Linked DNA regions of Astyanax mexicanus. The protein of the gene in region 1 purifies or fractionates together with the protein of each later gene. This does not show direct contact. Links are inferred from orthologs where the notes say so. Each region holds a gene or a part of one and is shown on either strand. Other genes may lie near its edges.

What was found. Proteins that work in one complex are often made in the same cells at the same time.
Region 2: the proteins of srp9 (region 1) and srp54 purify together in Homo sapiens (co-immunoprecipitation; 4 studies listed by BioGRID and IntAct, counting the BioPlex papers as one, with this or other methods). This does not show direct contact. The link is inferred for Astyanax mexicanus from reciprocal best matches to the Homo sapiens genes SRP9 and SRP54.

Annotation. Positions count from the first base shown.
Region 1 is NC_064408.1:58,149,262-58,156,300, forward strand, and holds srp9 (signal recognition particle 9 kDa protein), read right to left. Parts: upstream 2,530-7,039; 5' UTR 2,384-2,529; coding exon 2,312-2,383; intron 1,506-2,311; coding exon 1,437-1,505; intron 1,340-1,436; coding exon 1,220-1,339; 3' UTR 544-1,219; downstream 1-543. Other genes in the region: henmt1 (small RNA 2'-O-methyltransferase), read left to right, coding at 3,687-3,794, 3,899-4,014, 4,899-5,033, 5,154-5,336, 6,198-6,378, 6,492-6,953. UniProt on the Homo sapiens protein: Component of the signal recognition particle (SRP) complex, a ribonucleoprotein complex that mediates the cotranslational targeting of secretory and membrane proteins to the endoplasmic reticulum (ER).
Region 2 is NC_064421.1:19,054,780-19,062,811, reverse strand, and holds the start of srp54 (signal recognition particle 54 kDa protein), read left to right. Parts: upstream 1-4,994; 5' UTR 4,995-5,244; intron 5,245-7,000; exon of another isoform or gene 7,001-7,005; 5' UTR 7,006-7,136; intron 7,137-7,225; 5' UTR 7,226-7,249; coding exon 7,250-7,327; intron 7,328-7,439; coding exon 7,440-7,531; intron 7,532-7,618; coding exon 7,619-7,703; intron 7,704-8,032. Other genes in the region: uncharacterized protein zgc:109986, read right to left, coding at 972-1,088, 1,419-1,518, 2,298-2,404, 2,501-2,611, 2,812-2,933, 3,022-3,160, 3,262-3,383, 4,437-4,533. UniProt on the Homo sapiens protein: Component of the signal recognition particle (SRP) complex, a ribonucleoprotein complex that mediates the cotranslational targeting of secretory and membrane proteins to the endoplasmic reticulum (ER).

The sequences.
Region 1 (7,039 bases):
TGTGAATTTATGCAAACTTACATTTAATAAATTGTTGGAGTCACACAAACAATTTTTTATCCAAACTGTTACAGTGTCAAACGTGTCAATCAAGCAGTTTCTTAATTAATGGACTAATTAAAATGTTTAAAAATCATAAAGTTTTCATATTATTATTATTTTTTCCCCCTCTTTTGTAAGAGTTACCGACAATGACTATGAGGTAGACACTAATGCTTTGCACTTCTCCCAGCTACAGGACTCAACTAAATCAAGTTAGCTCCTATTAAGCAGGACAATGTACCTGTAGTAAGACAATGAAGGTGATCTGTAAACTGGTATAAAATGCCAAACATTAATGTCAAGCTATCTTAATTTACTTAAAACAGAATACCAGAGGGTTGTAATACCAGGACGTGAACACTCAAATTTCTCATTAATTTTCATTGTGTTGACTGATTGGAAGTCTGCTAAATTATTGCTTTATCATTACACTTAAATCAAACCAGTTTTAACAAACAGAACCTCTGCAGGAAAACAGTAACTTAAGAAAAGTCTCAGATCTCAAAAAAGAAAGAAATTTATTCCAGATGTATGCACCATTAACAGAAGACTTGGGTGAAAGTAAAGGTCCAGTGAGTAAGTACAAATCAGTGGTTCTGACACTAGTTTTCAGGACCTCTCAGAAGGTTCAGGTTTGTGTATTTGCTGGCAGCCCCAACATACTGGTAACATAATCACTAAAAGACCCAGCTCCAGTCCTGTACTCCACCTGCAAGATATGTTTTCCTGCCTGAGTGTCATATAACTTAAAAATGGTCAACTTCTTTATAAGCTGCATTTAGCATTTTGTTTCAAAGCAGGAACAAACAATCATGCAGTGCATTTGTGCCCCCAGGAATGGAGCTAGTAAACACAAACAAGACTCTTCCAAAATAACTGAAAAGTTGCTGTTTCCAGGTATAAGCTAATCAAGCTCTGTGTGACCTAGAATCAGAAAAAAAACTGGTCACCCAGCAATGTATAATACAAGATCACTGCCTAATAATAAGTCCAACCGGGACCAGAAAATAAATATCAGGATGAGGAGATCGCTGAATGCAGCTGAGGACATCGGTTTCCTCTACCCTCCCAGTTGTCATACTCCAAAAACAGGGCTCTTAAATTCCATGATCTTCAAATAATGTCAGCAGAGCAGATACATACTGCTATCCAAAAATTAAAAGTCCCAAAAGATTACTCAGTCCGTTTCCATTGCACCACTGTGGGACTCCTTGGAAACCATTAATCTCATCAGTTTCCCATGCAGCTTCTCAATCTTCTTTACATCTTGCGCCTGATCAGTCTTATACTGCAAACACTGAAACCAGAAATGAGCCACAGTGATTAAATCAACACACATAAGAAATTTCATTAATGTTCTATTTATTAATTAGTGTTCTAGAGCTTAAACTTACCACAGCATTATCAGTGACTTTCATACACAGATTTCCATCACAGTGTCTGTATTTAAGCACAACTCTGACCTAGAAAGAAAGACAATGGGCAAATACAAAAGTTAATAAAAGAATCAAGCATTACACAGTAAAAAAGACATTAAAAAGAAAAGCTAGAATCTGTGTAAGAAAAGCTAGGTTAGATGAACTGGACAAACTCAATTCAATTTATTTAAATAAGACCATGTCTGTTGTATAGCAACAGAAAGCATGAAACGCTCTTTTTTTCGAATGTGTTACTGAGGGCTCAATAATAATCTTATTTTTTATACACGTTGCATAACTTTATTCTAAATTTTCCAGCAGGAATCTATGTACAGTTATTCCCTTTTTTTAACCCATTACCGCTTATGCTTAGTTCTGAATTGTAGTCATGTGTTTTCATTTTATTATGTATAATTCTCATATATGTATTTTCACTAAAATCTTTTACACTATTCTGTATAATTAAAACAGCGACTAAATCATAATTTGTGCGATTATGCGAAATTTTTAGAACACATTTATTGACCTTAAACATGTTTGGAGAGAACACATGCTATTAAAAAGACTTTGAATAGACTGAGACTAAGACTCAGAATAAGGCATAGAGCTGTATGGATTAGTAGCTCTGCTACAGCTACACATGGACTCCTTTACCAAATACAGCGGTATAGAACATGTTCACAAACAGATAGAGACTGTAATCTCCCCCATTCTGTACTAAATACTGAAACTGTAAAAGAACTTTAAATGAAATACAACACAAGACAGCTGGTCCCTGGCTAGTTAAGTTAATTTAAGCTAAATTATGCTAAGCTAGGTTAGGCTAGGTGAGCAGATCGGCTCGGTTTTACCTTCATCGGGTCGGTTAAATAGAGCTTCTCCGCCGCCCGGGCGAACTCCTCCCACGTCTGGTAATAAGGCATTCTCCAGAGAGACAGACACCGAGTCAGAGCAGAGAGCAGAGAGTGTTTTTGAAGACTTTAACATGAACTACAGCTCCAGCAGCTGCTCTACACCACGGAGAAGAACCACAGAGCAGCACACAGGGCCACATCATCTAAAAGCAGCTCACTGATTGAAAGACACCAACCAATCACAGCTCACAATGCTGCCATGCTCTTCTGCGCATGCTCATTTTAGTCTGAGGCACACGCACAGCATGTCAAAATACAGGCACATGGTATCAGAGAAGCCTTTATGATAATTACAAATTAAAAGCACTGAAAATAAGAAGAATAAAATGTATTCATAACCGCTAGGCGGTAAAAATGGGTACTTTATATATTTTCTTTACTTTATAAAACCTGTAATATAAAAATTGCTTGTAAGGCTGAAGAAAAAAAACAGATAAATGAAAGTTTTATACACGTTTCTTGTACGGTTTTGACTGCCATAAAACTGTAAAATAATCATTTGTTTACATAATTGATAGCTATATATGATGCTGTGTGTATTTTCCTACATCTAAAACAATGAATTGAAAAAGTGTGATCAAAAATCTGTTGAATATCCTAGTATATTTATATATACTAAAGTCAAAAAGTTTTAGAACACCACTTTATATAGATTTTCAGGTTTTTAGTTGTCCAGTGTCAGTGCTGAATGTCCCAGACAATATGCTTTTTTATTTTCTCATCTTTAAAGCAATAACGTGAATTACTGCACTTCAGGCGTCTAATTCTTCTCTTCACTACTGGTAATGAGATCTAAGAGTCCAGTGTTAAGCTGAGCTAAAGGCATTGCCATGTGGGTCAGCCTGACCTCCTACTGTACCAGTTTTCTCCAATTTCTTACTAATAGTTCCCCAATTTATTTTTAATAGTTACAGAGCTATCTGTATCGGTATTCATTACTGCAAATAAATGCTGTGGAAATTCTTATTAAAAATATATTTCTAAAGCTAAGTTTATTTCCATTGCTACTGTTAATCAATAAATTGGAAATAATAATAATAAAAAGGAATAAGAGGCTTTTTCATAATACACTTTTACAGTATATTAACCAAAATGCTAAAGTGTATTTATTTCAGTTTTTTGTTCATTTGTGTTTCTTAAAAGCCCTAATAAATTACTGCAAGTTACACAGTTTTTATTTCAGTTACTGGCTGAACCTGAAAAGGGGTAAATTGAGGTATATATTAGTCCACCACAGGGGGCGCTCTCTGCGTCCAGAGTAGAAGGCCCAGATCCTCCTCTGTCTGGGTACTCTTTATTTTTTCTCTTTGATATGTGCAGAAACGGTTCTGACAGGATGGCCGCTCTTTTCTCTCCTCCTCTCTACCTGCAGAGATACCAGTTTGTGATCGAGTATGTTAAGAGGTTCATCCCCAGGAAGGTATATCCAGTGTTACGACCCTCATCCCAGTCATGTCTGATCTGCTGAGGACCCGCTGAGCTGCTCAAAGCGCTGTCTGACCGCGGTTCTCCTCCTCTCCACAGGTGATAGACCTGGGCTGTGCTGACTGTGGGCTCCTGAGGAAGCTCAAGTTCCACCGAAACGCTATAGAAGTGCTGGCAGGAGTCGACATCGACTGCGCTGCCCTCAGAGAGAGAGTGTGAGTGACTGTAGGACTAGTTCAGTAATGCATTAAAAACATTCTTAAATTAAGCTATAGCTTGAATCATGGCTTAATATGGGGAGTATTTTAATTCCAGCCATTAACACATTTCACCACCCTGAAGAGGAATTTTGTAGGTTTGTAAAACCATTCTATATAAATTAAAGGTGTAAACGTAATCCAGAGTGGTTTGATCTGAATTTGTCCATCCCAGAGAAACATGTAGAGTCAGATTTATTTACACTTTATTTATTTACAGCTAACACCTTACAAATCTACATGTCAGAAAGTGTGTGATAAAATTAATTATGAATATTCTAAAACATGCCTGAACTTTTTTGGTTTTGGCCTAACACACACAAACACAAACACACACTAATATAGGAGAAGTACATACAATGCTTTGTAAGGTAATGTATTAAAAAATACACTTACTGCCATTAGTTACTTCATCACCATTAGCTTTATGGCGAATGAAAAATTAAACATTTCTTGGTTATGGATTATACTGGGTTTTCAAAACTTTTGACCCTATTTTGACGCCATATAACTTCATGTATAAAACACATAAAGGCTCACAATAAAATTCTTCCACATTTTTACTCAAACTTCAGATGTTGTGAGCATAAATGTGGACAGTCTAGAAGGCTTCAGGACTGGTTGGAGGTCCACTTTGTAAGCACTCATGTGTTCAAATTCAGATCAAACCGTTACATTTCTGTCAACTCTCAACAAATAAGTAGTAGTGTTTCTTCACGTTCAAAGTTCTAAGAAAAATGTTTAAACTCTTGTTTTTAATATTGGATTCAATAGCACCTCTGTTAGATATGAGTATATTAAATCTAAATTGTAAATTCTGGGCATGTGTGTTTTTTTTTTAGGAATGCATTGGCCCCACTCACAATTGACTACCTTCAGCCAAGTCCCAGGCCTCTGACCATTGAACTCTACCAAGGGTCAGTCACAGAAAGGGAGCCATGCACCCAGGGCTTTGACCTTGTGACATGTATGGAGTTGTGAGTATGTCTGGACTTCCTGTACAATACTATCATAAGCTTTAGTACTCTGAGTGGTACAATTTTGAAATAATCACCAGCTACAGTCATCTGTTTCCTTTTGTGTTTTTTGTCTTAAAGGATTGAACACCTCCAGCTTTGGGAAGTGGAGGGTTTTTCCAATGTTGTGTTTGGATATATGAATCCCTGTGCTGTGATCATCAGCACTCCCAATGTAGAGTTCAATCCTTTGCTCCCGGGATTAAGGGGATTCAGAAACAAAGACCACAAGTTTGAGTGGACCCGAGCAGAGTTTCAGACTTGGTAAGATTTTGTCATTCTACATACATCAAGAAAATTCATTGCGATTCAGACCCACTTTGTTGCAGTTACACCCTCATTTGAACATTTATAGCCTTAACACTAGGATATTGTGTAAAACTGTTTTGCATGTTTGTCGCTCATGTTTATAAGATCATGCCACTGCATCTCAATAAGATTTCGGTCAGGACTTTGACTAGACAACTCCAAGGTCTTCACTTTGTTTTTCTTCAGCCATTCAGAAGTGGACTTGTTGAACTGTTTTTTTTTTTTTTTATCATTGTCCTGCTGGAGAACCCAAGTTTGGTTTAGTGTAAGGTCATGAACAGACGGCAGGACATTCTCCTTTAGGATTTTTTGGTAGACAGCAAAATTCATGGTTCCATTTATGACAGCAAGTCTTCCAGGTCCTAAAGCAGCAAAACAGCCCCAGACCATCACACTACCACCACCATGTTTTACTGTAGGTATGGTGTTCTTTTTCTGAAATGTGGTGTTACTTTTATGTTTTATTATCTGAAACATGTAAGAGAGACAAAAAAAATCATGAAGGTGGCAAACATTTTTATTTTAAAACAACTGTATGTATATGAATAGGTCTGGATGACTAAATCCACTCCAACTCATCCCAACCCATCCTTAAGTATTTGCTGAAATGCAATCTCTTCAGAAAACACAAAATTTCCCTGTTCAATGTTGTGTGGACTTTGTATGTTTGCAGCTAAGCAAAGCTTTTCTGTGAATCGTAAAATATATACCATTCACTAGTTGTGTTTGGATATGTAGTGTACTTTTCATCATGGTTTTGAGGCAAGTATTCCTTTGTTTCAGGAAAACTTTATTACACCTCTCTCTCACAACTAGGGCACTGGGAGTTTGCATGGAATATGGTTACTCAGTAGAGTTCACTGGCGTAGGAGTGGCTCCAGGTCAGAACAGAGATGTTGGATTCTGCACCCAAATTGCTGTTTTCCAAAGAGATGCTGGGGTATCAAATGGACCCGTGAACAACGCTGTGCAAATGGAACCTACAGTTTACAGACTGGTAAAGTGGCCTCTTTATGGTGGTTGTTCCCTACATGGTTTCATATAGCAGATAAAATGTCAATACATAGCAAGTGTATCTAATAGAAATGCTTTCATGTTCATCCCCATTAGCTCTACAGGGTGGTTTACCCGAGCCTGTGTGACAACAACATCTTCCAGAGGACTCTGGTTTGTCAAGTCCTCTACAGGGCAGAGAGCCTGAAAAGGGAATTTGAGTTGGGTGAGCAAAGCATGCAGTCTGACCTCACTGCATGTGCCCACAGTTTACCACCAGACGTTGTGGCGGGGAGCACAGTGGTATACAGGCACAGAAGCCATGTTTTTGTGCCTCTGCAACATGTGTGGACTGACCCCAAAGTGCAGGCTTTGTGTGGAAACATCCACAGACTTCGACAGGCTCTGATGGACGACTCGCGTGTGCAGCTGGATACTGACAGAGATGCTATTATACTACCTGATGAGGGTGAAGAGGAGGAAGATGAAGAGGAAACAGGTGAATGTGAGGAGGGGAATTTGACACCAAGCCCCGTAGTTGACAACTCAGAAGAGGACTGGGAGACTGAAATTGGCTGATGTCTTAGCTTAAAGGAAAGTTTAACTGAACAAAGGAGTCACCCTGGTAACCTTGTGGAAGTGTTGTCATCTTTACTTATAACAAC
Region 2 (8,032 bases), on another chromosome or scaffold:
CTTGTTTTAAAAAAATATAAGAAGTAGAAGTAATGTCCAGCAGTAGGCTGTTCCATAGTTTAATTGCTGACCACCCTTAAGCTTTAGCTGAGACCAAGAAACAGCCAAGAGCAACTGATCTAAAGATCCTCAAAGACGTGCAATGGGAAAGAGGTTCTAGTGACTTAGTAATTTAAGATCGTGCAAGCCAATGCAGTGCCCTAAAAACAAATAAAAGAACTTTACAATTGGACCCGGTAGTGAACAGGGATTAGGCCTAGTCCTAGACTACATTTTCCTTTCAATCAAAGACTATATTTTCTGACACATGTATTTAATTAAGGGCATTAGCTTTTGTCCCACTTGGACACTTTTATAGTAACTGAGGCAGAAGATATTATTTAAATACTAAAAGGAGCCAACATGTCATTGTCACTACCAATGAATATTAAACCATAACATTGTACGTATGTTTCTACAGTAGTTACCAACATTATTATTGTTCCTTTATGCATGGCTGGGTGTGGTTATCTACAAAAGAAACCTGCAGGTACTGAAACTTATTAGTACTTTTTAGTTCATTGAGAAAAATATAACAATTGATGGACTGACTGTTTTCAACATATCCATGAAATGTTTATTCATCATTTGTGTAACTCTTGTTTTTGCCAGGTCCTTTAACAATCATGGTTTGTTTTGACCATTTGCAAATTCAAACACATCCCATTTTTATTGTATATTTTTTCCTCTGATGTCCAGTCCTGACATCTATGTGGATCCACATATAAAAATAAGTAATTCCTTTTAATAATTATTTAAATTATTTTAATAATAATAAAAAAAATATTATTATCATAATTATGTTTCACAATGAAGTAAATTTATTTGTAAGCAGGTGTCTTTAAGACCAACAAGTCAAATAAGGCATGGTTCTTTGGCAAAATCTTACATCCAGGGAGTCCGTATTGAGTCTGTTGTGTCTGTGTTCTAGGTCATAGCACCCTGTAGAGATGTATTTGTTTGAGGAAATCTAGTTCTGTGTCACTTTGCAGATAAGCACTGTAATCAAGCAGCACTTCCTCTAACCAGTGTCCAATTTCTGTTAGTCCCTAAAACACAGAAAACACAAAATCAGCAGAATACAAAAATATTAAATAACCTTACCACACCTTAAACTGCCTACATTAAGCATTTTCCTTGCTCTCAGGTTTGTCAGTTTATTCTTTGTTGACATTTATAGTGTTAGATACAGCACAGTGCATTAGACCAATAAATCACATTAGTCTATTATACCATTACATCACTCTGGACTAAGGCATCTTCCAAAAGCCATATTTGCATATGCAATTTATGTGTAAATCTATTTTTTTTAACCTCATACCTAAAGGTTTTACAATTATGAAGACATTCTTTAATAGGCAAAAAATATATATGCTCACGTTGGATGCTTGTAGCGAGATGAGGGCTTCTTGAATGCTGGGAACAGTTACCAACAGTGCACCCTTTTTCAGAAAATTTTGGCTAATAAAGTTCCAGGCTCTGTTTAAAACAAGTGAAGAAATTATGATGAGTAAAAACTGAAGATGAATGAGTAAAAACAGTTGACAAATATGTACACTTTCAGTGGTTACAAATCCTTATAATAAATGACCTTGTCTGAGGTCAGTAAAGCCTGCAGTTTTTATGAGCATATCTGGAATCTTTTGTCACTTCCTGGAAGACTTTCTGTTGCTGGAGGAATTTTGGTAGGCCAACCAGTATGTATAGTTTATAAATGTAGTGAATTGGTTGACTGAGTAAGGAAAATTCCACTTCTCGTGTGTGAATTGCAGGCTAAAGATCTGAAGATCAAACCTAAAGCCAAACATTTCCTGGAGGAGCGTTAAGCAAACTGCCATCAAATACATTTGGTGAACTGTAGTGGCATTTATAATTCAGAATTAATCACCCAAGACCCAGACCTGTTTTGATGCTCTTTTGTGTTTTGAATGCATTGTCAACAAAAAAAATCCTTCCTGGACTGTTACTGACATAACAGAAATGTAAATGCCAGAGAAAACATTTGAATGTATTGTACATCATACTCATGACAACATCCTAAGTTTATAGCAATGGATGTAATCAACAGTTTTATTATGAACCTGACTGTATTCATTCATTTAAAACGACAAACCAAAAAACAAGAGCTATTATTGTAGGATTTCAAATAAAATGTATTGTATTTATATCTAACAAGTCAAGACATGAACTATTAACAATACAAATTAACGTTTATTTGACTGCACTAACTGAAATAAGTGTACAAATAACTGACTTACTTTGCTTGGTCTTTGGGTTCCATAAAATACTCAAACACATTATTCATAATCAGCACATCTGCATTTTGCACTAAGGCAGCCTGTGTGCAGATATCAGCATGAATCACCTGAGGAAGGCACACAGAAATAGCAAATCATGGTACAGCATGTCAAGGTAAGTGTAGCAGTGACAATGGTAGAACTGGTGTAAAAAGGTGCACTACCTGAATTCTGTCACCGAAAGCGTACTTTTCCACAACCATTGTCTGAAGCTTGACAAACTCTTCACTCATTTCTACACCAACAAGCCGTGCTGCTGAACTGTAGAGGTATCCCTATTAAAAAGGAGATGATCCGTTTAATGTGTACTTTAATTACTAAGTGAATAAAGGTGTTAAAAGGGCCTTATATCTACAAGATAGCAGCATTATTCTTGTTTAACTGAATGTAGTGCTGTGTGACAGTATACTCAATGTTTTTTAATGTGGCAATAGACTGTGGTGCATATGTGACAAAACGTTTTGGATTACTCTACCCCATAGAGCACTGTTCCCAGCCTCGAACCCACATCCATAACCAGTCTTCCAGTCAGGTCAGGGAGAACATGATGAAACAAAAACCGGAGCTCCGACACAGAAAATGAATGTGAGATGAACTCTGTAGGACATAGCAAACTGAGTTTAAAAACATTTCTACCACATTTATCAAATATGACTGAGTTAAAAATAATAGAAATGTTGTTTACCCAGGGGAGCTGTGCTATGCGATCCGCAGTTGAGACAGTAGTTGCGACTCATTTTTCTCTCCTCACAGAGAGAATCTACTGTTTCCTCATCATACAGAAATGCATCCACATGCACTGTTGGTTTAGAGGTCTGCTGGGTCTGCAATGAAAATGGAAATCAGATGTCATGACAGTTTACTTATCATATTAAAGGCAATAAAAGTATTAACATGACGATAGTCACAGAATGAAAATGAGGACCTTCTGAATGGCCATGGTCTCTGAAGGAAACATAGCCTCCAAGGGGAGACAAGGCCTGAGGTCCTCTGCAATACTCATCAGTATGGCCTTTTGATTGTCAACCAATAAGTCATCAAGATCATCTGAAACAGAAGTTACAGTATATGGGTATAGATTAACTGCACTGTATCCAGCCTTATTTGTTACATGCAAACATATAAATTAAAATGAATAGCACTGGACACAATCCTACTTAATGGAAAAAAAAATAATAATAAATAGGTAATCTTATGCTGCAACATGTAAAATTACTCAATAGTAGACACTTTAGGGTCTCAGCTGTAAGACAAGGAGCATACTAGTAATATATATTGCAAGCTGTCTACAAATTAGTCTAGAAATAACACCAGCGACACAATCATAGCTCTGTTTCTCTAGTTAAAACTTAAATTACAGATGACTGTGATGCCTTTAGATTATAGATACCAGCTATGCAATTATTACTAGCAATAATGTCATATCTGAGATATATGAAGATTAGTCATATGACCAGGATGATATATCCATACAGCACTGTCTACTGCACTGTTTTATACCCTTTGTATGTTTATTCATTCTCTTGTTTTTTATGAGTGTATTTTGCTGCTGTCTTTGTGTATTGTTGCTGCTGAGATCAAAAGTATCTATCTATCTATCTATCTATCTATCTATCTATCTATCTATCTGTAATTACATTTTTAAATTGCTGTATGTTACCATTGATATATCTAGAATTTTACTCTCTTTTAAGCAATAATTATATATTTCTAGTACAAACTCCAGTAACAGATATCTATAATTAATTTCTAAAAAAACATACATTCAATAACACTGATATCAATATTGACGTAAAAAATCCCAATTATGGATATCTATAATTATATCACAGATCACATAGCCTACACCTATATTACTACTAGTGCAAACTACGTCAGATATGAATTAGCCCTGGTATTATGACTAGCCACATCTGATAAACATGTCACAGCTGATCTGATCTGATAAAGTTTTCATTACAGAGACCCATAATTTATAACTTGCATCATTGGTGTCATTTCAGACTAAAGTACTTGCCATAAACTTAAAGAAGAGTTTAGTTAGGTTAGCTAAGCTAGGTTAACTAGTTTTCTGTGACATACTATACATTAAATAATTACCAGAATTTTTCAACCAATCGATTATTTTAGCGAGCTCCTGCGGATCCGTTCTGCCTAATGTCTGAAGAATTTCATTCTTAGCCTCGTTAAAGTTCATTTTCCTTCACAGATCAGAGGTTTAGCTAAGAAATAACGTTACATGCAGCGGTAGCAGTGACTGGAGGAACACGTGAATCCACAACACCTCAGTCTAGGGGAGGAGCCAAATATGCCCTTAGTATTTTTAAGGTGGATCTTCATATATAGCGGAGTCACATTATTTAGTAATAATACAACTCGTTTGCGCTTAAAAAAAGGGTAAATATGTTAAATTACTTATCAAAAATAATATTTATTTTAGATAACCCACTATTAACAATGTAAAAGAACCGAGAGGACACACATCAAATATATTGTAGTATTTTTCCTGAAGCAAATCCACCTTAAGAGCGAATGTGCGCTGAACGGTTTCGATGGCTTTTGATATTGATTAAACAGCGAAAGAGGGGGTCGTTTAATCTTGTTTTTTCCGTCGATTTTTTCACTTCGAGTATGAGTATGAGTACAATAATAGCTAACGCTCTATAGTTAGCTAGCTAATTTTCGCTGTAGCGAATACACTAGCAGCCACTGATTCTAGGTCAGTTTTGTTTTCCTGTCTCTCTACACTCGTTTCTAGCTGAACAGGCTGAACGAATAATAACTGACTCCAGATCAGCGCACTGAGTCCCAGCGTTACCTCGGAAGTAGAAAGGGTTTATGGGAGTTTTGTGTGTTAGCTGACGTCTGCCTGCTTTCTACTGAACCAGCTGTGTCGAAGGGAGCTAAGGTAAGAAGCTAACCCTCTAATAATAATATTAACATTAATAACCATATAAACACACACTTATATCTTCAACGAGACAGTGACGCTGTAGGTATCTGTGTTTTACATGGATCTGTACAGGAGATTAGGGCTGTCCTGTGTTTTGGACCGGTCTTGGCGAGTCCAGGATACTGTGGCTAGTTAGCTAGCAAACGCTAACGCTAAAGCTAACTAGCCGTAGAAAATAACATCCAACCATATACATGTAGTTAACTGCTAAGCTAGTTAGTAAGCTAGCTAGCTAACCACGGTATCTTAAGTTACTATACACTAAAATATTAGCTAAGTGTGTTACTCGCATTATTTCACTTTACCTCATCCAAATATCATGTATTTAACTAGTTAACCTAACTAGCGTACAAATCACACAAAACTATCATTAGCCATCTGTGATTGCAGTCAGCGGTAGATGAAAAGCAACAACAAAAATCACCTGGCCAATTCAAAGTGGTTAGGCTGGCTGATCAGAACTGGATATTTCTGTTTAGATCTTATACAAGCATGATCAACCTGACAAACAGTTAATATGACCAAGCTTAAACAAGCTGGTTGACTAAAATTAACACTAACCTAGCTTTTAAGATGGTTAATCATAACAGCACCTCCAAGCTGATCCAACAACATGTCCAGCAAGACCAAGCATGGCCAAAGTAGCCAAATGCAATAAAAAACAACCTACACATTGCTGGCCAAGTGCTAGTTAACCAACTAGCCTAGTATGTTTTAATCTTAGACCGTCAAGTCAGTTGTGTACAGGTAAATTGTGCGGTGAAATTACGTTCCTCCTGGACATTGGTGTAACATGGGACAAACAATACAACATAGACAACAAAATGCAAACGTGCAACAAAATGTGCAACATATACCTAAAACAATACAATAAATACAGAAGACACAAAAACCACAGTACACATTTAAAAGTTGAGGTGAAGTAAGGTGTAACATGCTATAACATATAGGTCATACATGATTTAAACTAGCTAATAAGTTCAGCGTTCAGTCACCTCAATCTTGCTCGCCTCAAACAGCTGTTTATTTACTGAAAATAAGAGAAGTTTGATAAAAGCCCTAACTTAGATGTTTCTGACACTGGTTCTTTTATTTTTTCATGTTTAAAAATATTGACTTAAAATATTAAGGAGGAATTAGAATGAGGTTCTTTTCATTTGCATGCAGCATTGTTTTGTCACACACAACACTTTTCAATTAAATAAAGAAGTACTATATTGGATTAATTTCCAATTGCCTTCTAGATTGTCTATATGAATTTTGGAAAGTAGCAAAAAAAGTGTTAATGTTGAAAATTTTGCTCAATAAATAAATATAACTTTTTTGCTCTTTGTGTAATTGGGTAACCTTTTTGCCTACTTCCAGGACAAAAAACAAGGCTATATTTATACATGCATACAGTGGCTTTAGTATCAGAGTGACCGAGTGACAAAAAATATTATTATTTTAAGATTACTGAAGGATGTACTACAAAGTACAAAATGTGTATAATAAGACTATACTAAACATTTGCATTTTATATATATCTGTTCATTGTTTATTTATCATGTTTATGTTTATGTTATCAAAGTGCTACATTTTATTATATTTTGAGGGTACCAAATGCACTTATTTAAAGCAACAGTTATCAGGCCTACAGTCTAATTAAAGCTTATGTTTTAATATTGGTACCACTCAAAATGACTTTTTTTTTTTTTTTTTTTTTTTCTAGAACAGACGGCAACATTGCAACTCATTTGCTGGATTAATCGGGTCATTCGCACCCACACACACACAACTACAGAAGAAGAAGAACTCTGAACGGGGGAATCCCCCACCTTAGCGAGGAGGTTGCCTTTGTCTAACACGTATGGAAATATCTGATGTATATTTATAACTATACCCACTGTCAGTAAGTGCAGAAAATCAGCATCCTATGTCTTCCATCATGTTACAGGTCGCCTCTTCCTAAACTGCAAACATGGTGTTAGCTGACTTGGGGAGGAAAATCACCTCCGCGCTGAGATCTCTCAGCAATGCCACCATCATCAACGAGGAGGTAACTGTTCTCCAACATATTAACATATTTCTGTGTCTATAAAATCTGCTTTAGATCTAGAAATGTCTGTATTTACTGTTCACATTTATCATCTTAAATAAATCTTCCTTAGGTTTTGAATGCTATGCTTAAAGAAGTATGTGCAGCCTTACTGGAAGCTGATGTCAACATCAAATTGGTAAAACAGCTGAGGGAGAATGTCAAGTAAGTTTAATATCTTTAATTTTGTGTAAAAATGATGACTGCCTTCTTCATCAGTGAAAATGCTTAGTCATATTTTCCTGTTCTCAGGGCAGCCATTGATCTTGAGGAGATGGCCTCTGGGCTGAATAAGAGAAGAATGATCCAGCATGCTGTTTTCAAGGAGCTTGTCAAGGTTTGTGCCATTTTAGAGCAGACTAGCCTATGTTTTGGACGTGCATGACTCTGTAGTTAATGTCTTTGCATTATGTAAGTTTTAAAATAGTGTTGCATTACGTAAACATTTTATTTACATGGTCACATTGCCCTTTGCGCCCCAAAAAAATAAAAACAACACAAACTCTGATAACAATCATCATTTATGTTATCAAAGTGAATCGGTCTATATTAGGGCTTAACAGGGGAATGCCATGTTGCATTTTGTTATGTTTAGTATTGTGACATTTTCTAAACTCAAGGAAGTGGTTAGTGTATACTCTTCTAGGCTTGAACACTGAACATAGT